Linked DNA regions of Oreochromis niloticus. The protein of the gene in region 1 interacts with the protein of each later gene in a pairwise test. Links are inferred from orthologs where the notes say so. Each region holds a gene or a part of one and is shown in the gene's direction. Other genes may lie near its edges. The genes, in order: prpf40a, ccnl1a and hnrnpul1.

Region 1 (7,615 bases):
GCGTGCTGGGTGTTATATATATATATATATATATATATATATATATATATATATATATATATATATATATATATATATCAGTGTTGGTTAACATATTAGATCACCCATGCAGGGGTGCAGATGAGACAGTGTGAACGTGTTGTATGCACACGTTTGCTTTCAAACAAATAGTGGTATTTCAACAACTCAGACAGTCAACTTTTTCGAGTTGTCTCTTTACTCTATAGACTAATCTTTCAGAGATTTTCTAAGTGAAGTCTAAAAAGTGTACAAATAACACCAAGTACAGTGTCTGACATTTACTGTGACATTCAATGAGATGCCTGCTTACTTTCCTCTGCTTTGCCCTGATGCCGTGGTCATAGGTTTTCTGTCATTTCTGTCTGAGAAAGCGACGAACGCATGCGTGTGGGTGGCATTGCAAAGGGAAAGAAACAGACCATTTGACCAAAATGATTGATATCTGTGAAATCAGCAACTCTTTCAGAAGCAGAGACTGTGACTAGCTGGTGCTCAGCAATCAACAGATTTGTGTCGTGTGAGATAATTGCACCCCAGCCAAGAATCTTGCCAAAAATAGTTTTTCAACTCCTGCAATAAATTTTCTCTGCAGAACACGGGGTGAGAAAAATTACATCTCTAATTTGCAATCTCTTGAATTGCTAGAAGCAGTACAATGTAAAGTCACGGATAAACCAGGCAGCATATAGCATGAATGTCATATGTCATGTTTGACTTTTTTTTTTAAGAGCAGGGCTGAGAGGTCATGATTTCATTGATTATGTGGCTCAGTAATCACCCACAGGTTAAAAAGGCTTTTAGAAAGAAAAAAAATATTTTCTCAAGAAACATAAAAAAACCCACAAGAGCTTTGGTTAAGCGGCATGCCTTTGATTGTCAAAGAAATAACTGGAGGCCAATGTGAACATAAAAAAAATCTTAACTAAAAAGAGCCGGTTAAAATAAACCATAAAAAAATCCATTAATATGCGTCTACAACCCAAAATTGTTTTTTCTTTGTAAAATCTGTGCAACTGAGAGAAGAAAAAACAAATCTTAACAAAGCTTCTTCTGCTCCTTTATTTTATGAGAGGAAATGGAAAAGCAAGCTGGAATTGTAATAGTGTGTTTTGTTGATAGTTAATGTGACTATGGTTGACAGGAAGCCAATTGTCAGATGAGAGAAGAGTGCCTGCAAGGCAGGTCAGCAGCAGGCTGGGCTCAAAGCTCACTGGGTAAAATGGCCAGAAGCAAACATTGACCACATCAAATATTGTGAATCAATCACAAACAAACAGACAGACAGACACACACACACACACACACACAAACACAAACACAAGAATGAGGTTCTGGCAAACAGTGAAACTATGGAACACCAATGCGCATAAAAATACAGCGTATAGGACTGAAGAGTGGAAACTAGTTTAGAAACATCATAGCATTCTCAAGGATTTTAAATATAATATGTCTTTATTCATAAAAAATAAATCAGTTTGTCAAAGCAGCTATGTACAAGTGATGGTGACTCATGGCTGTTTTTTTGTTCATGTTTGATGCACTGTGGTTGACTGACTCCCATCATTAGACTGATCCATCTCTGCCCCTCACTGTCACTGACTTTTTTTTTGTTTTTAGCTTGTTAAGATAATCGATAGGGAATTCTCCTGCGCTTGTCAGGAAATGCATCAGAGTTTATTGCAGTCTGCCTCAAGTGAGGGCTCATCTGTTTTCCAACTCTTTGTTGCATGCTTCACACCTCAGTAGCACTCTAAATCCCAGGGACAGCTCCGGTAAACAACTGCACTGACAGGCATAGAGATAAACCGGACATCGCGTATACCTGTATAATCGATTTTTCGTTTTGAAAAGATCTGAACACGCACGCACGGATCTGATTGTTCAAAACCCTTAATATAGAGTCCAGGCCATCTGCAGAGCAAGAACAGCAATAAATGAAAACATGTTCATTAGGCCATCAAACTAATTTTCTGTTTGAATAAACACCTTAATGGGTGAGCTACTCCTTAACCTTGTTTTGTGTGGAAAATATATGACCGGAATGCAGAAGCAAGAAGGAAAGGAGAAAGAGTGAGTGCTGCAGCCATGTGAAAGACACTTAAAGGTAAACTGTGTAGACTGACTGCTTTATAATTTCCGCTGTCATGGGGAGTCTTTGCAGCACCACAGAGGCCTGAGAGCTGTGTCACAGAAGCCAATAATTGGAAAATCACAGCCGGTCCTTCAAATGATCCCCAATACACCGAGGTAATTTTGCTGTGTCTGAACACCAGCTACCTCAGCTTCTGAAATAGGTACCTGTTATAACATCAAAAATAAAAAAGGGAATCACTCTCTGTTACGGTGTAAAGAGCAACCTGATCGGTATTCATTCACGAACACTAAAAGTTAAAAATAAGGATTTAACAGTTCATAAATTAGTGCCATAATGACAATTACCTTTTACCAGACGTTCCTAATTATTTAAGGCTCTGTGAAAACATTTGTATCAACAACAGAATAATTTATGTCATCTGTGTTTTAATTTGTTTAGAGTAATGTGCAAAAGTTTTTGTATGACCACCTTTATTCTTTAAAACAGGCTGAGCTCTCTTAAACAAGCTTTTTGTTACTTCCTGTAAGTAGTCATCACAAATTATTTTACAGGCTTTTTGAAGGACTTTCCAAAGCTCTTCTTTGGAATCTCTTCTTCCAGTTCTTTTCGAATCAGGCATACAGGGGCTAAAGACCCCTAAGATCAGGTGTACCAGTACAAAAAGGGAAAGGGAAAAAAATATTCAAGCTCCAGCAGATTTTTCATTTTGCACAGGCTAGTACAATTTTTCATTACAAGTGTTAGAATGACCTGTGGTGCTACTCTGATGTTCCCTGCTCTTCGAGGATTTAGCCAACTGAATTCACCAAGATATAAGCAGATGTTTCATGAGCTAAATGATAGAATTTGGTGAGTGAATATAAATGTGAATATAAACTGATGCCTGCTACCCTTGATGTAAATCCTAACATTGACCATGAACGGCACATGTTGCTCTGCACCAGACCAACAGTGTCATGGCTGTAAACTTCAGGACAGTACTGCAAACCAACCAGCATAATCTTCACACTGGTTAGTTTGCAGTTAAAGAAGTTTAATCTAATAAGCACTAACCTCTCGTTAACTGTATGAAACTGCCTGGTATTTTTGTGCAACCTAGCATAAATGTCTCTAGGTAAGATCCAACAACTGATTTAAAAATGCTAAAATGAATTAGGAAATTAGGAAAGATTTACATTTCTGGTTTATAAAATTTCATTTACTTACTGAGCAGTCCTTTTCTTTAAAAATAATCTCATATCTTCATCTTTCTTGTCTTCTTCTTCTTTTTTCTTTTTGTTCTCCTTTTATCAGTGTGGCACATTTACACAAATATACATTTAGCTAGCAGACGCATTTTGTGACAATCTGCAGAGAAATGGTTTATCTGAACATGTGTATGCTAACTAAATATACAAATGTACGCATATACATATTTGTCATATTTATTGTGCTGTTTGAAAAGTTGCACTTGAAATTACCTGCCACGTGAAAAAAACAAACAAACAAACATTAATCCATTTGTGGTTTTTCCTCTTCTGTACAACCAACTAGATCGAAACTTTATTTACATATGCACCATCACAGGGACTGAAAAATGGTTGTTGAAGGTGTAAGCAAGGATGGAATGTTGTTTTCTTATTACTGAGCAACTATCTCCATCCCATCACTGAAAGCAATGCCAGGCTTCAACACATGAAAAATAAACTAATTGATCAGTAATATGCATTAATCTTCTTATCAGGTTTGATAAGCAGTTGAAAGTTGAATACTGTCAATCATGGATTGGCCTCCCCAGAGCCTCGACCTTAACATAATTGAAGCAATGTGGGATCATCCTGACAGATAACAGAACAAAAGGCAACCAGCATCCAAAGAAGAACTTTGAATGTCCCTCAAGAAGCCTGGATAACTGTTCATGAAGACCTTCCTGAAGAAATTACAAGATAGCTTGCCTAAGAGATTTCAGGCTCTGTTGAGTCAAACCAAATATTGATTTTCAAGCCTGTTAGAATTATTCAATCTCTGTTTTTGCCTTATATTTTTTTTATTTCCATGTACTTTTACGCAGATTTCAATAAATTGTTGCACCTATTGCCCATTCTCCCTTTCAAAATATAAAGAAATGAGGATTGGCTCAAGACTGTTGCACAGCATATATCGTATTAATGAGACAAGTTATAAGTATATGTGGCTTTCTCTATATTTGCATATATTTTATGGCATAAATTAAATTTCATAATAGAAAATAGAATTTGTTTATTTATTTATTCATTCATTCATTCATGCAGCTGCAGGGCTATTTTTAGTTTAAGCTATTTAATATCAAGAAACATATAATTTTATGTTTAAGTTTGACTATTGCGTATTGACTTAAAGTGGACTTTTTTCCATCGCTGTTTCTTCCTTGGTTAACACGCTAGTTTCTTTTGGAGGAAACGGTGGTGTTGCGCATTGGTGCGCATTTCCAACGCAGAATGACGCTACAGAATTGTTACCTTTGACCTCTGAGCGCTAGGCGGAAGCTCAACCAATCGTTTTGCTTGTTGTTGAGAAGTGCTCAAATTTCTCGGAGGTTCTTCTCTTCAACATGGTGAGTGCAGGCGTTCAAAAAATAGTTTATAGCGGTAACGAAAAAGACAAAAACTGTTTAGACTTGGTGTATGAATTTTTAAGGCCTGGATAGCAGCCATCTTCTTCTGTAAACTATACCGTAACAATGCTGTGTATCAAAGACCACGGGTTAGCATGTCTTGTTAGCAGTAGGCTAATAAAGCGGTATGTGCCTACCTTCGTGTTATAAACGGTTTCCTTTAGCTGAAGCTTTTTTGGATATAGCACGCCCTTTGCTTTGTTAATGTGTAAAAACAGCAAAACGTGTTACGATATTCGTGAAGTAAAATTACGGTGGTGAAAGTGTATTTGGCTAGTTGAATGATTAATCAGTTGAACTCTTGCGTTGGCTTTTTACGATTCATTTCCAGAGATTAGACGGAGCCTGTAGTCATTCATCACAAACAGCAGCAGTTATTTCAGATTTTTACGATTGTTACCAGTCCACATAATTTACATTAGCACAGACAACGTTACTGGTCAGATTAAGTCAGGAATTAAGTGAACTTTATCTGTTAAAAGTAGTAATTTCGTGGTAGTAAAATAGAATATCCCACTCATGCACCCAAATGAGTGGACTTGAATAGACCATATTTCACATGATGATCATCGTAAACAGTCACTACTATGCTATTTCATGATAATATGCTGTCTGGTTAAACTACAAGGCATTCCTTATGGTTTATTATTCAGGTACAAAAAATGTTAAAGCTTCACGCATTAATTTGTTGTTACCCAGGATATAGGTAAATTCATGTGTTTGCCTGTACCATATGTATGTATTAGAGGACCCTCATTCATTCTGAATAAGCCGGAAGTCCTTTTGAATATTAGTTATGTAAAAAGAAAAAGGAAGCACTTGTTCAAAAGGTAGAGATTAAGGTAGGCACCGTTTCATCCTAAATAAATACGTTTTTTAAATAAACCAACTGCTTGGTAATTTGTCCCCAAATGAGGATTGTGTAATTTTTCTAGTCTTTTGTCTTTCGACATTGTAAGCTTTATATATGTCAAATTCAAACCGATTTCATATAATGTTTTGATTACTGACACCCCGATTAGTACTACCTCATTTAAACTTTCAAACCAAATATTCACGCACTCGTTGCGGTTTCATGTAACTGCACTAATTGAAATGCGCAATATAGCCATTACTTTACTTTTTATGTGCATTTAAAAATGGAGGGGGGTTATTTAAAAATGCTTTATGATCCACATTGTTTATTTGGGAGCAGCCAAAAGAAGAGTAAGGAGTTATTTAGAGTGATTTATTAACTGTAAACTACTTAATTTCACAATTAAACACATATCTGGAGAAATGGTAGTTTTCATGATTGAAGCACACTGCTAACTGCAGAACTGGCTGTTGGGAGTTCACTAACTCTGTGTGGTGTTTCTTACTCCTCACAGTCTTCATCGGAAGCTAATAATGGGCCGAGCCAAGCACCACCTTATCCAGGTGTACCGCCCGCGGCGATACCTCCCCCATTTGTAAGTCATCAAAATGCAGTTTTGTTTACAGATCTAAAAGAACATCCTTTGAATTTCTGCATTGATTACTTATAAATTTGCTGGGGGTTAAAGTTAGAATAATAGGCAATTATATGAATAAATTACTTAGGCAAGAATATCAGTAAACTCTTGCTTCCTATAACAGCAGCAACATCTTACAAAAATTGTTTCCAATAGCTGCTTAAATAATGATACAAACTCCCTTTTTTTCCTCTTTTTTTAAGGAAAGAAAGAAAGGACCTTTCCAGACATTGATTTTATCAACTTGCACACATTTCTGCAGATTTCCAATATTGCATATTGGGCTCATTGGGCCCATGTCTAGGTACAGGTAGAAACGGAGAGCATTTTTTTTAGGCTTAAACATTTTTTCTGTGCAGGAGAAACCCTGACAGTCTTACTCGTATTTATGTATTTATAGGTGACCCAATCTCAACAAAACTGTACAAACGTTCTCTCTCACACAGTAATGATTAACATCTATATATTTAAAACAATAAATTTACTATAAATCACAATTCTTTTGATTTTCGTATTAATCGTCCTCCTGTGAACTTGATCATACATTCTTCACTTGCGTTTGTTTCGCGTGTCATGTTCAACAAGTGTCGCCCATACGTAACTTAAAGGTTGCCAAAATTTGTGTCTGTGGTGGAATTTTCACCACTAAGTGTGGAATGAAGACTTTGAAAAAACGCTTGCTAGATCCCCAAATTTTTAGTCAGTTTGTCTTTGATTCAAAGAACTTCCACATCTGTAGATTTGATTTTTTTTTTTTGCTCTTTCCAGTTTAGCGCATGTATAGTGTTTCTCCTAAGGTCCTGTGAAAGTTAGTGTGACTGAAGCACAGTTCCCCCACCATGTTCATCACACACTGTGGCAGCCAGTGTTCACACACTCCCTATTTTATCTCTTCAGCTAGAACACCTAACTTAAATTAGCCTTTGAAGGAGCAGAGAGTTGCACTTGCTTTCTTTCATTTCCCCCTTTTAGGTCTTACTCATTATGTGTAATTAACTGTGATTCAGAATAATGTTAGATTGCATATTATGTGGAACACTGCAGAGATCCAGGTAATTTCAGAGGGTTAAGAAACTATTTCTTCTAACTACAATATAATGTTTTTGTCTTCCTTCTTTTATGAAGATGGGACCACCTGGAATACCGCCTCATTTCCCTCCCATTGGAATGCCCCCTATGGGACAGCGACCTCCCAGCATGACACCAATGCCTCCTGGTATAATTCCCCCGGGTATAATGCCACCAATGGGGGCACCGCCAATGGGACAGGTGAGCTTTGTAGTAACCTCATAGATTTGTTTGTGTTGGGGTTTTTTTCTCTTTTCTTTCTTTGTGCCTTATGAAGTCTAGGGAAAGAAGAAGTCTAGGGAAAGA
Region 2 (7,123 bases), on another chromosome or scaffold:
CACTCACTTATGTCACACACACACACTGGGAGTGTGATCTCCGCAAGGTAATTATCATAGCAGGGCAGGCATGCACACGTGTCTCTGGGGAATCTGTGCAAGTTCCTCGTAAACACACACACGCTCCAGGGAGTGGCGTGTGTGTATAACTAAGCCCTTGTTCGTCACTGGGCGTCCCTGAACGCCTTTGTCCTACGTCGATATGGTCGTTTCGGAATTCGGCCGTCCCGTGAGCCCTCCCACACCCCATAATTAGTGTCACCAAGGCAACCAGAGAAAGAATGCTTGTATTCTTGTCGTGGTGGCAACTGCGTAAGCGCTGGGGGCCGGAGGTGCTAGTTGTAGGTGTTGGGGTGGGAGGGTGGGGGGTGAGACACCTCAGTCTGTCACTTCATGCGGTGTGTGACATGGGTAAATATTTATGACTGTCCTGTAGATGCTTCACAGACCCGCAGACAGGTTGTGATACCGTGGACGGATCAAACTTTAAGCCTGGGCAATAATTTCCTTGTCAGTTCAGCTAACGTCTGCATTTTTTTTTCTCTGAGTTTAAACATATGACCTGTTACCTGGTATAGGTGCCCTGTGTGTAAATGTAATTGCTCCCTAAACCTACTAACTGGTTGCGCCAACCTTGGCAGCAAGAACTGCAGTCAAGCATTTGTGATAATGGACACTGAGTCTTTTATGAGGCTGTGGAGGAATTTTGGCCCACTCTTCTTTGCAGTATCCATGGTTCCATTAATTATGGCAAACAACAAAGCAGTCTCAGACCATCACACTACCACTACCATGTTTGACTACTGGTATGTCATGAAATGCTGTGTTAGTTCTATGTCAGATGTAACAGGACTCAAACCATCCAAAAAGTTTGGCTTTTGTCTCGTCAGTCCACAGAATATTTTCCCAAAAGTCTTGGGATCATCAAGATGTTTTTTTGACAAAGAATTCTTCTATGGGTGTTGTTTTTGCCCAGTCTCTTTCTTATTCTCGTTAGCTGGGTATCGGTCTGCCAGGATCTCCACCCTTGGTCACCGCCTGGCACACATTGAACCCGACCCCTATGGTGCCCCCTGCGGGTGGTGGGCCTACAGGAATGTGAGTCCATGTCCCTTCTTTGGGCTGTAACCAGCAGGGCCCCATGGCCTAAGGCCCAGTCACCAGGCACTTGACCTCAGGCACCCTCCCCAAGCCTGGCTCCTTGTCATTTGTGAGCTGTGGTGAGGCCAGCTGCTGCTGAACTTCATCGGTAGCAAGCGGATGAGCAGTCAGGCTGCAGCCTTCATTTCTACCTGCTTGTGTTTCTACATTAGAATAACTGTTGCAATTACTTTGAAGTGTATTTGTGCTGAATTTCATCTTTGTTTTGTGTTGTTGGCTTTGTGTTCATACCTAAATGCTAAGAGAAAGATGTGATAGATGTGATGTGTAATAAAAATGTAATAAAAATGTTATGTGTAATGTGTGTAATAATTACTTTTTTTGAGTAATGACTCAACACTGATCACAACATTAGACCACACAACATGCAATTAATTTGCATAAATGTAATGTGGTGCTTGGTAATGGTGGTAACTCGCAGAGCGGAGCTAGTGAGAACCCAATAAGAATCGCTAAGAGAATTGATAAGGAATTGAATCAATAAGTAAAATAGATCATAGAATCAGAATGGCTAAGTTCTTATCACTTCCCATCCCTTACCAATATTCCTTAACATTGAAAGCAGCCGGTTGAGGTGGTTCGAGCATCTGACAGGGGTACCTCCTGGGCGCCTTCTGGGTGAGGTGTTCCCAGCATGTCCCATCAGAAGGATGCCCCGGAGCAGACCCAGGACAACTGAAGAGATATCTCTTGGCTGGCCTGGGAACGCCTTGGTGTTCCCATGGATAACCCTGAGGGGGGTAGGGAGAGGTAGGTCTGGGCTTCTCTGCTTAGGCTGTTGCTCCCACCACCTGGCCTGAATAAGCGAAAGAGAATTGATGGATGGATGGATCTTTCTTATTATGATTCATGAACTCTGACCTTAACTGTAACAAGTGAGGCCTGTGGGTCTTTAGATATTGTTCTGGGTTCTTTTGCAACCTCCTGGATGAGTTGATGCCCTTTTGGAATAATTTTGGTGGGGTGGCCACTCCTGGGAAGGTCCGCCACTGTTCCAGTCTTTCTCCATTTTTGGATAATGGCTTAGAAATAGCTTTGTAACCCTTTTCATACTGATAGATGTCAATGATTTTGTGTTTCAGCTGTTCTTGAACTTGTTTAGATCATGGCACGATGCATTTCTCTTTTAGCCCGCTTCACATTGTCAGACAGGTTAAGTGATTTCTTGATTCAACAGGTCTGGCAGTTATCAGGCCTGGGTGTGGCTCAGGAAATTAACTCAGTTTTCTAAAAAAAAACTTGTTTAATTACAGTTAATCCATGATTTAACAAGAGGGAGCAGGGAGCTTTTCACACAGGGCAAGGTAGGTTTTAATGGCTTTCCCCCCCAGCTTCATAAAACAAATCATCGATTAAGAACTGCACTTTATATTTAATCCATTTATTTTTGACTAATTTGACTAACTTTTGGTAGATTAGACAAGTAGTAGTTTTATTTCCATCAAATGCTCACATTAAACAGTCTGACAGCCTGTACAAGAGGGCACCACGATGATTACAACCTCAAAAACTAACAGTACAAACTAACAGCAGCTACTACACACTTCAAACAAGTGAACACAATGTTTTGCCCATTTGGAATAAAAGATCAATAAAACTACAGGAATAAAAAATAAAAAAGCTACATTGAAAGTCTTTGTGTCATAGACTGGCAGAGAACCACAGGTAAACCAGCAAAGACATATTTGTGAGTAAAGATGAAACATTTTATGACATTTACTCTGGTCATCAGTTAACTGTAGTGCCTGTGGGTTTGTTGAAGGAGAAAGGGGACAAGATGAGCATGATGAGCATGCAAGTCCACACAGAATAAACTGAATGACCTGAGGAACCGCAGAGCTTCTCTTGTAGCAACTGGTGGGTCTCTACTTTCCTCTGCTGACTGCTTTTGGTAACTACAAGGCTTCAGGCAATAAAATCCTGTGAGCTGAGCTGTCACTGAACAAAGTGTTCCCCGCATTAAATACTGTGTTGTTGCCGTCTTTGACATGATCATAGTCCTTCTGGAAGTAAGTGCCACTTCACAGCAATCTTGGTAACACTTCTGGTCAATTTTTTGAGGATTTATTTTGAAATTGTATCTTACTTTAATGTTTGGGATATAAAACCTGCATACAGAATTGCAAAGTCAAAACTGCTCCCCAGGCAAGTCTTAAAATTAAGTTTAACAGTTAGTCACAATTCATTCTACCTAATTTTCTGAGTTTTTTTGAAGATGAAATACAACAACTCCCCGTAGTCTGTGAGTAGACCAAACAAACAATTAATTATTTATTAACGGAATTATTTAAACTGGTCTTTTTAAAATACATTTCTTTAATATTTTCTTCCTTTATTTTAAATTGGCGGATGGATATGTTCTAGCGGTAATAGTGACAAGTCCGGACTTTCCCGTAAATCACGTCACAGAAACCGTTGGTGGCGACCAGTGGCGATGTGTTCTCTTCTGCTGCCTTTGGGTGACGTCGGAAATTTAGCAGGCATTACCGGCAGTGACGTTTAATGAGTAATACGTAGAAAACTGTCACTAGTAGTGCTACAGTGAATGTTAATGTAGTGCCAGTAATAAAACTGATTTGAGTCATGCGTCAAGTACATTTTGTTTTCGGGATTAAATTGTTTATGGTGTTTATCTGAAGTATTTTGACACAGGATTTTAAAGGTGAAATTGAAGCAAAGAGTTTGCTGTAGCTTAAAACGGAAAGCAATGAAACATTATATACCAGGTGAATTGTTTTGCTTATTATTAAAATATTTGTAACATATATTTAGAATATTTAAATACATTCAGGTTACGTGCACTTGTACATTTTAACGAGTCAATGTTGCGAGACTATTTACCACTGCGGATGTACACAGCGTTTCCATCTGAACTGCATGTTGACGTCACGCACTTCGCCAGTCACCCTGCTCCGCTGTTACCGTGTGGAGGCTGTGTTCGCTGTAGCTGCTAACCGTTGTTTTTCAGGTGAAGATGGCCGCAGGTCCTCTCTCTGTATCTTCCAATGCCTCCACTAACAATGATGGGATTCTCATTGGCGACAAATTTTACTCAGAAGTGTACCTTACAATCGACAACTCGCTTGTACCGGAGGAAAGGCTCTCAACGACGCCGTCGATGTTCGACGGCCTCGACCTGAACACAGAGGCCGACCTTCGTATTCTTGGCTGTGAGCTGATTCAGTCAGCGGGTATTCTCCTCCGGTTGCCACAGGTAAGCGCTCTTGACTGCACTACATTAGTGCTGGGTGTTTGATAATAATAGGCGAAAGTTAATGTGGCTTGTAGTTTTTGCGGCCTAGTTGTCAGCGGTGTGCTAAATGTTAGCTCTTGACGTTGGCGTGGTGGAATTAAAATGGCGGCGATCCATTGTGCAAGGTTAGGCCAGTTTACACAAGACGAAGTACAATTATCATGCTCTTTTTTCGCCCCCGTTCGACAGGTCGCAATGGCAACAGCTCAAGTACTTTTCCATCGTTTTTTCTACTCCAAGTCCTTCGTCAAGCACAGTTTCGAGGTAAGTGTGTTAAGAGTTTCCGGAGTGTTGCCGGGCCGCTGGTCGGCCGGTATTGTTAGCATAGCATTGCATAACGTTGTACCTACGTTAGTGGCAGCCATATTGTCGAGTCTAACTCCACCAGTTAAAGAACTCAACGATAAAGTGGGACCTCCTATGAGTGCGAAACTGAGCACAGACTCGAAGTACACAATAGCACTGCATTAAAACACTTGCACTATTGTAGTGTCAGCATTTGTTTTAGTACATCATTACGTTTGTAGAGTGGATTGATAGGATAGGGTATGTGAAAAGTACACATCACCCCCCACAACAAAACAGGATAGCCTTATATTGTTGTCTTTATTTTTGGTTTCGTGTTTGTGTTCTGATAACTTGAGCTCAGCTTCCTGTAGTAAACATTCCTGTTTGCTTATCATTTTATTTTCCAGATTGTTGCCATGGCTTGCATCAACTTGGCCTCCAAGATAGAAGAAGCACCACGGCGAATACGAGATGTCATTAATGTTTTCCATCACCTGAAGCAGCTCAGAGGAAAAAAGTAAGCACTCCAAATTAATCCAATGTTCTCCTCTTGAAAATAATTATTTAATATGTGAAAAATGTTGCATTGCAATGTTTTTTTATTCTGTTTTTGTTTTCTTATTTTTGTATTATGTAATGTTTGATGCTGATCTGTGTTTTTGCTGTGAAAGTGCCCTTTTGTTTATCCATGTACTCTAAACCATTTTAAAACTTTTCAGTTTCCGCTTCACTGGTAGTTTTGCAGTGTAATTGTCTACATTTAACATCAGTTTGACATTGCACTGAAATTAATGCCTCAAACAACTGGCTTCAAAAATTCAAGTCTATTATTTGTAAGACACAGTCACAGACAAAGCAGCTGTACCTGTGTCTTCATACAAATCTGTTGATGTCAATATTACAGATTTTGGCATTAACTTGACTTCTTTTTTCCCTTGCAACCAACTAACAGCGACCAGCTACATTTACCAAAGCCTGGGTGATGTGGAATGGTACGTAAGATGAAGCTGTCGGCATGAACCATGATGCGAGGGGGGTCTCCCTCCTCCCCCAGGCCCACCCCACCCCCTCCTGCGGGAGACTCCCGTGGTCTGAGCCACCGCGGGGCACTGGGATCGGGGATGACAGGTTGGCCGAAGGTCCTTGGCCCCCGGGGCGCCTTGAGGACTCCTGTGGTTCAGTCTTAAGCTTTGGGTATCTGTCCGTCATTCTGCGGACCCTTGGGTAATGTAGTTTTCTTCTCTGACTGCTCCTCACCATGCATTTTAATTGTGCTTAAAGAGCAACACCCCATCCACCACCAGCTGCAACCATGGCTTTTAAAGAAGTATCATCTCGTGTGTTAGAATTAGAATGATTAGTTGGTTACTGTGAGTCTGTCGGTTTTTGTTGAGTGAGGGTCAGTGCATGTTCTTTAGCTTCAACAATTTGCCATTATATGCTGTTAATTTGATTTTGCATTTCTTAAGTGTAGCTGTGAGGTGTATATATAAAAGAGGTGTAATGTTAGGGTTGGGATTTGTGCTTGTTGTATTGTCTTTAGTCCTCAGAGGTTATTTTTGTTTTCACTTTTTACCATGCATGTGGTTTGTAGTGTAACATTCACATTAGAGTATATTTGAGACATTAGAATGGCAGACTCTGAACTTTAAATTGAATTTTACTGGTTTGTCAGGGGTCATGCTATATAATGAATGACTCTCACAAATCATTGTGGTTTAATTCCATTCCAGATTTTAATTCATCTTGTGAGCACGATGACGGGCAACTTGAGCAGACGGTGTATCAGTTTTGTTCGTTCGTTTTTTTTGTTTTGTTTTTTTTAAATTTTGTTGTGGATTTTCTTTCCACAAGTTTGTCTTCATCAGTGGAATGTTTTGTGGGACAGTACAGTATGTGAAGGGTCACTTGATCCAAAAAAATCCCTGCTCTGAGTGTTTTCCTTCCAAGTCTGGATTGTCTGCATCCAGACGATGGTTCTGGCCCATGGTTTTGGTCAGTTAATTTGCAGTATACTGACATACAGTATAAGAATATAGATGAGAATGAGTTGTGACGGAGTACAGTAATAGTGGCTTTCCATTTTTATTTTAAAGTAGCGTTAAGCTTGAGGTTCAACACATCTGTAGTGAATTAGTGATGTTAGCACCAAGTTGATATTTCTGTTAAGGCTGTGGCACAGGGTGTGTTTTTTGGGTTGAGGGCTGTCTTTGAATCTCACAAGCTTTCACTGGAACCACAGGAGTCCACAAACCCCAGCAAACTGTCAGGCATGCAAACAGTTAACTGTTGCTTTAAGTTGGTTGAAATGGGAAAAACGAAGGGGCGCAGGAATTCAGAAGGGCACTGTCTTTTTTCTTTTTTAAATTTTGTTTTGTTTCTTTCTTTTAAATGCAAGAGGGAAACGATATTTTATTTTGA
Region 3 (7,607 bases), on another chromosome or scaffold:
GTCCAGCCCCTCGGCTTTCTTCACTGCTGTAACCCGAGCCAGGTGTTTCTACCACAGCTGTTCCAGGTGAAGTATATAATCTGTGAGGGAGGAGTTGCGTATTATTTAGTATCTCGCAGACAGGTAACTGTTGATTTTTTTTTTATTCACACCCTCACTTTTAAATAGAAATACATATATTTTTTCAGTTTATGAACTGTGTGAAATATATATATGCATATATATGCTACCATATATAGCCTACGTTACATGTATAATAATAGACTATTGTTTTACAAACACAATTATGTATTTTTAAAAAGACATAACTGTGTTTTAATTCGTTGGGCCTACATACATTAGCATATAACTTCCGATACACCAGTCTCTCTCATTTAAAAAAAAAATAAAACCATAAAATAGTATCTTACTGTAGTTTATAATGGTTGTGCAGTGTGGAAATGATCTAACATGCAGCAATGCAATATGATGCCACGTAAAAAGTAGTTTGTCATTTTATTAATTTAATTAATTACCTATTTAATTCATTTTTAAAGAGAAAATTAATGTCAAACATCAATGCTGTTATTTAAATTGGGAAAGACGGGACGTTTATCATTAAGTGAGTTCTAACTAATAGCAAAACAAGATAACAAATACAAACAAATACGTCGATAAATAAATAACCAAATAAGTAAGGAAATCAGGGCGTTTCACTTCACGAGACTTGGACACGTGGACGGATTTGTGACTGGGCTTGTCAATCATAAACGTCATCACGTAACCTCTACGCACTCCGCCCCATTGAGAAGCGTTTCCGCCAAGATGGTTGTCGGTGCCTTCCCTATCGCCAAGCTCCTTTACCTCGGAGTGAGGCAAATGAGCAAGCCTGTGGCTAACCGGATAAAAGCTGGAGCCCGGAGGAGCGAGTTCTTTAAAACTTACATTTGCCTGCCGCCGGCACAGCGTGAGTAATTTGAGCTAACGGCTGCTAATGGCTTAGAGTTCAGTCCAGTCACCTCTGACGGTTGATAAGCATGGAGAGCCGCAACAACCAATGACAATGAACCTGAAATGACTGTTATCCAATCATCTTTAAGAATTTATATCTTCGACCAATAGTAGCCAGGCAAGCTCTAAAAGGGCGGGTCTTGTCTGTCATTGAACAGGTTGTGTTAGCCTTTGCAATGAGGGCACGGCAGGACAACTGTAGTCCTAACACCCTATTCAGAATGTGACGCTGACTTTAATTAGACAGAAATATGCTAAGTGGACACTGAGCTCTATTGTTTAGGCATATCTGACTTGTTTGTGTTAGTCATTTAGAATACTTCGCAGGCGGCAAGTAAAGCTTACTGTGTATATCATGTTGTGTTTGTAATTGTGTTCTCCATCATTCATTTTCAGATAATAAAAAAGGCTACAAATAAAAAAGAAGCTACAGTTTTTCGTTAAAGATTAAAAAATTTTTTCGTTAAAATTTTAAGTAAATTAATGGATCAAATCGAGCTTTTATGAAAAGGTGCTGGAGGAAAAAATGGCATGGTATTATTTGTTGACCGAGTAGATAAAATGCAATAAAAGGTTTGATTACTATTAAAAGGTAGTCTTATCTTCATATATGATGGCTGAGTGAAGCAGAAAGGATTTTACTCCAAACTGTGAAAGTGTAGTCATACTTAGAGCTGTCAGGAGGTGAAGGGGGGAAAGACATTAGAGCAATAAGGTGAAAGTACACCAGCTTTTGAGGAGTCTGAGCAGGGGCAAAATGACAACACACAAAATTTGTTATGGACAAGAAATATTATGTAAGCTAAGGCTCTGAGGGATTTGGCCTCTCAGTTGCCATACAGGACACCCGTGAGTGTGAAGGGATTCATCTTTACATGGCAACCTTCTTGCATTCTGTTTAAGAGACTTCTCACTTTCCATGGGGCTTTATTCTTTTCCCACTTATCACTGACATCAAGAAAATGTTTCTCTTTGATGGACTGCTGAATCTTGAACTATTAACCAGTAAATTTGGATCCCAAGTTAGGTGGTGACCACAGATATGCTGAAGAATGTTTCAGTTTTAATGCTACATTCAAAAATGAGCATCTCCCTCTTGTTTGTGCCCTGAAAAAAAAGAAAAAAGAAACCTGGTTGCCTAATTTCTGTGTAATGTATTAAGAGCACCACTGATTTAGTGGTTTTGGACAGTGCTTTCCTGTTTTCATGTTTTATGCTAAAAACAATTTCAACCCAATTTCAGTAAGGTATTAATGCTACGTTCCCTTCAGAGATGACCACCACCTTCTGGTTTTTGAGCACTGAGATTGTTTTCTGTTTGATTTAATCAGAGGATCACCTGTTTGGTGGTTGTGTGCAGCGTTGTCCTCTTTTCATTCTAAAAAATTTTTAACCCTATTTCAACCAGGCTCCTCAAAAACTGAAATGTGTTCCTCTGAGCTTTCAACTTTCGGCTCTGATGTCTGGCATTCCCCCAGCTCATCTCCTCACGGCAATAAGACTGACTCCCCTTCTGCAGTTCTCAATAAAATCCAGTCTGCCTCATCCTACTCTTTGCTTCCTGAAGTGTGGTAGCAGAATGAGAGGTAGTAAGTCTTCTGTCCACTAGAAAGGACACTGAATAAAAAAGTAATTGCTGGGTCCTAGGAGGCTATGTCACAATTGAAGACAAATATAACCTACATAAAATGATAAACTCTTCAACTTCTTTGTTGTCTTTATTTATTGCACAAAAGTTCAGTTGCAGCTAGAACAGTAAGTGAAGATGTAAATATAATTCCTCATACAAACCTTTTTAGCAGCCACAGTCTCTGGTATGCATGTTATTTAATTGCTTATAAGAGTTGCACAACAATGAAGGAGAATTTTGGACAACTCCCAGCAAAACCTGTTTTAGTTCAGGATTTATGTGATGCTTTAGTTGAACGGCCCTTTTTAGCCACAGCATCTCACTAGGGTTAAGGTCGTGGATCTCCTTTAGGTTATTGTCTTGTACATAGCATTACACAACCTCTCCCGTGCTTCAGGGTATGGACTGCTGGGCTGAAATTCTCCTCTAAAACATCTTGAAATACATTTTACTTTATTATTATTTCAGTGATTGCAATTGTCCATCACCTGAAGTTACAAAGCCTCCTGAAAACATAGTGCTGCCTAGACCGTGAATCTCAGCTGGGTAGAAGATTATAATAAATTATAGTGCAATGATGACATGCATCTTAAACCATAAATGCAGTTTCTCCTGTATTCACAACTTTTGACCAGATTATCTGATCCTTTTAATGAAAAAGTGAACAGGACCCAAACATATTCAAAGTCTAACAACTCTTTCCTTATATACTGTATGCTCCTTGTTCCAACAGTTTATCACTGGATTGAGATGAGAACAAAGATGCGGATCATGGGCTTCAGGGGAGCCACCATTAAGCCGCTGAACGAGGAATCGGCAGCAGAGCTGGGCGCCGAGTTACTGGGGGAGGCAATCATCTTCCTCATTGGTGGTGGATGCATGGTGTTAGAGTACAGCAGGCAGGCGGCTAACTCTCGCCGTAAAGAGGAGGAGCTGAACGAGACCCTCATAAGCCTACAGACGCAACTGGCAGAATTATCCCTAACGACAGAGACTCTAAGTGCGCAGCTGAGAGAGGTCAACAGGCAACTGCTGTCATTTCCTGTTCCCACCAAAAAGTAACAAATTTAGTTGTTTGCTATACAGCAAGGCATAATGTCGGGTTGTGGGGTGAAGGAGTGAGTGCACGTGTATATGTACAGCCTCATAGCTTTGAGCTGGGTGGAAGAGGTTGATATAAGTATATCACTGCAATGTGGATTTGGGTACTGTCATTTGCTCATGTTCTGAGCAACTAGTTGTAAAAAAAAAAGGGAATTGCTATGATATTCATAGTGAATTTCACTGGCTGACCTTGCATGTTCATTGTAAAGTTGACTGAGTGTATATAAAAACTAAAGTGGTGACCTTAAAGTTGATATATACATATATATTTTTAACAGCTTCAGCATATTCCTTTCTTTGTAATTCAGTGATCCTCGTAGACCTTAATCACTTTGGAAATGCTGAATTATATGATTTTTTTTTTTTAAATACTAATTATGAGTTACTATTAATGGAAAAAAAATATAAACACCAAAAAACAAAACCAGCTCATATCAGTGGATTAGTTTTTGAGAGAATCTGCCCCTGTACTGTCCATAAAATTCCATGTTGTAATTGCTGGTTTGTAATTGGATGTATGGTGACAATTGGAAAAAAAAAAAATTGAAATAAAACGATATGCTGGCTGTTGATAGCGTTTTTGTCATGTTTAATACGAAACAAGCGAATAAAAACTGAAAGCACCTCCAGAGTGGATGATGTCCCGCGTTTCTTCACATTACTGTAAAACTACAGTACCCAAGATGACGTCAATGTAACACTTCCTACTTTGGAACGCTCCAAGTGCTTAACGCGTAACATACAAAACATCGTTCTCTTTGATTTCATCTAAGATTATATGGTACAAATTAGTTAATGGTAAACTCGCGCTATTTGGTAGCTCAAAGAAGTGCATCCCAGTGTTTTACATTTGCAGCAGAATAATAAATTCAACCAACCGGCTCTGCTTAACTTCCGGTTCTGAGTTTGGTCAGGTTTGTGGCGCCAGGGGGCGGTAGCAACTCTTTCAGTCTTCTAACACGACTTGCCCGCGCAACTTGGGTGAAAGGAGGTAGGCCTCAACCTTGTTTCGTAAATATATTCTGTTTCAGTTCTAAACTATAAGCGGAGTGCACAGTGCATTATCTCCTGGACTTGCATGCAGACAAAGTATGGGTTGCAGCTTGCTTATTGTCTGAGTTAAAGTTTCTTCCCTTGCAGCGGCTGTCGGTACGTTAGCTAATGCTAGGCTAAGAACGTTAGCTGCTCAGCGAGATCTTCAGACGAGTAATAGCATTAGCATCTATTTTAGGGATAGTTTTGTCTTGCAAATGGTTATATTGGTAACGGCTGCAATAAAACACGAGTTTAATGGTTCACAGACGTGTAGTGGAACACTCTTTAGTCTTACAGAATCTGTCCAGCGTTGCTAGCTTAGCTAAACGGCTAACGCAGCCAGGCTGTGGACACGGTGCCGCGCAGCAGATAACATTTGAAAGTTATAAGGCAGTGTTTTTAGAAGTACCTGACCATTCCCCCCCCCATTTTTTGTAGCAAATAAAGACAACAGCCACCGAGTAGACATCTAAAATCACAATGAGTGTTGACGTGAAGAAACTGAAAGTCAATGAGTTAAAAGAAGAGCTCCAGCGCCGTGGCCTGGACACCAGAGGCCTGAAGGCAGACCTCGTAGAGAGGCTGAAAGCCGCTCTGGAGGCTGAAGCTAAGGCTGATGCTGGTGAGCAAGAGGATAAAGGGGATCAGCAGCAGGAAGAGGAATACGGTGATGACTACCAAGACAATGAAGATGAAACGGATCCACAAGAGCAGCAGGGTAAAGTACTATTTCATTAAACATTTCACTTCCATGAAACTAGTTTTATTACGTTGTTTTGGACTTTGATCCAATTTCTGCCCTTTGCTGGCATTACATTTTAAGCACTTCACTGTGCTTGAGTATAAATTAAAGTTTCAAAGTTGGGAAATGTCAACAAACTCTTTACTTTACAACCTAGAGAACACCTAAACTAAGTTTAAAATTTTACCTTTCCAGATTCAGAAGCAGCTGAGGACTATGGTGGTGGTGATGAAGCTGAAGGTGATGAAGCTGAAGGTGATGCCCCTCAAGATGAAGATGAGGGCCGAGATTCAGGTGGTTACTATGAAGAAGAGGAGGCAGAAGGTAACCCGTATGAAAGTCAGACTCCTTCAGACTCAGGCCACAATGTGCCTGACTTCACAGCAGATGAGGATATTCAGAAAACTGACATGATGTCTGAGGAAGAGACCAAGCCTGCAACAAAGGAAGTGGAGGAGGAGGAGAATGAAGAGGAGGAGAATGAAAAGAATAGACAAGGTAATTTTTCATTACTTTTATTACACAGTTGATTTTTATAGTCTTGTATTCATCTCTGATGGCACTGGTTGAGAATAGAAACGCTTTTCAGAGATTCAAACGTTTTACTGTTACTTACTGCCGACATGCAGAGGTGGCACAATGACCCAGTGATCTGCTTAAACTAAATGATGCTAAAGGTAGTGTAAAATTTTCCTTGTGGACTTTGGCAATACAGTAAAGACATGTAAACCAAACACTCAAACTGCTCTCATACCTAGTAGAAAAATTTCATGAACTTGTTTTCATGCTAAAAGGTGTTATGTGTGTTCATGTCTAATTATAGAAGTTAAAGTAGAGGTCAAAATGGAAGATGAATCTGAGGGTGCAGGTGAAAGGCAACAAGATAATCAGCACGAACAGCCGCATGGGGAAGATACCGCGGGCCAGCCAGAGCAAGTCAAAACTGAAGCTGAGAGAGGTGGACACTATGGACGTAAGAGGCCATATGAGGAGAACAGGGGCTACAGCTATTATGAGCACCGTGAGGAGAAGAGGTGAACTTCTACATGGTTTTCTAAGTTAACACAACTGTCTACACTCGGAATGGATAACACAAAGTGTACTACAATAAATACTCTGGTGTTATTATACAGATCCCGAACACCACAGCCTCCTGCTGAAGATGAAGAGGAGAACATAGACGACACTCTTGTTACAATTGATACATGTAAGTATGGTACATTTAAATAGTGTGTGAAAAAACTAGTATCAGTGTGCTGTCTATGGTTGTTTATAAATACCAGAGACTATGGGAAGTTGGACTGTTGTAGCAGACAAAGAGTCAGTTATTGACTACATGCTTTTGTTGATGGATTACCTGTAACATTTTGATATATGTATGCTCTGCTCTAATCTACAATGATCATGAGCGCACACTATAGCTGCAGAAAAGCGGACTAGATGTAGACTACCATCTTATGGCTGATATAGATGTGTTTGATGTTTTATCTAAATGTGCTTAACTCTTTGGTTTTCAGACAATTGTGATTTGCACTTCAAAGTTTCCCGAGATCGCTACAGTGGTTATCCACTGACCATTGAAGGCTTTGCTTACCTTTGGGCTGGGGCACGAGCAACTCATGGAGTCACCCAGGGACGCGTGTGCTATGAGATGAAGGTAGATGGATGCGTTTCTCCAAAGGCTTAGTAGTTTTAAAACTAGACATTTGTGCTGATGAGGTCAGACCTATTTTATGAAATGCTACCAATTTGGTGTTGTGTAATGATTACTGATACATGAAAACTTTGTGTTAATTATTGATATAGTGGATGGGGAAACTTTACTATTAACAAGCATTATCGTCAAATGTAAGAATAGCATTACCCTGTTGGCCTTTAAACCAATGTAGTTGAAAACACCATTTTTATAGAAGCTCTAGTTAACTTTTGTTTTGGTTTTGTTTTTTTTTTTTTTAACTAATGTCAAGTAATCCTTCTGGTTCTCTCACACACACACACACACACACACACACACACACACACACACACACATATATATATATGTATTAGGCAAACAGAAATCTTACTCTGTAAGAGAAACTTGTGTTTGACTTTTTTGTTTTTTAA

The links.
Region 2: the proteins of prpf40a (region 1) and ccnl1a interact in binary tests that used the Homo sapiens proteins (3 or more experiments, as listed by UniProt). The link is inferred for Oreochromis niloticus from reciprocal best matches to the Homo sapiens genes PRPF40A and CCNL1.
Region 3: the proteins of prpf40a (region 1) and hnrnpul1 interact in a two-hybrid assay, tested with the Homo sapiens proteins (2 studies listed by BioGRID and IntAct). The link is inferred for Oreochromis niloticus from reciprocal best matches to the Homo sapiens genes PRPF40A and HNRNPUL1.

The regions. Positions count from the first base shown.
Region 1 is NC_031987.2:14,574,976-14,582,590, reverse strand, and holds the start of prpf40a (pre-mRNA-processing factor 40 homolog A), read left to right. Parts: upstream 1-4,544; 5' UTR 4,545-4,685; coding exon 4,686-4,688; intron 4,689-6,118; coding exon 6,119-6,199; intron 6,200-7,366; coding exon 7,367-7,510; intron 7,511-7,615.
Region 2 is NC_031979.2:14,102,112-14,109,234, reverse strand, and holds the start of ccnl1a (cyclin-L1a), read left to right. Parts: upstream 1-4,047; 5' UTR 4,048-4,135; coding exon 4,136-4,375; intron 4,376-4,603; coding exon 4,604-4,678; intron 4,679-5,109; coding exon 5,110-5,219; intron 5,220-5,654; exon of another isoform or gene 5,655-5,717; coding exon of another isoform or gene 5,718-5,830; intron 5,831-7,123. UniProt on the Homo sapiens protein: Involved in pre-mRNA splicing. Functions in association with cyclin-dependent kinases (CDKs). Inhibited by the CDK-specific inhibitor CDKN1A/p21. May play a role in the regulation of RNA polymerase II (pol II).
Region 3 is NC_031979.2:33,502,690-33,510,296, forward strand, and holds the start of hnrnpul1 (heterogeneous nuclear ribonucleoprotein U-like protein 1), read left to right. Parts: upstream 1-4,557; 5' UTR 4,558-4,715; intron 4,716-5,197; 5' UTR 5,198-5,239; coding exon 5,240-5,477; intron 5,478-5,696; coding exon 5,697-5,999; intron 6,000-6,324; coding exon 6,325-6,535; intron 6,536-6,634; coding exon 6,635-6,708; intron 6,709-7,018; coding exon 7,019-7,158; intron 7,159-7,607. Other genes in the region: opa3 (optic atrophy 3 protein homolog), read left to right, coding at 805-946, 3,354-3,682.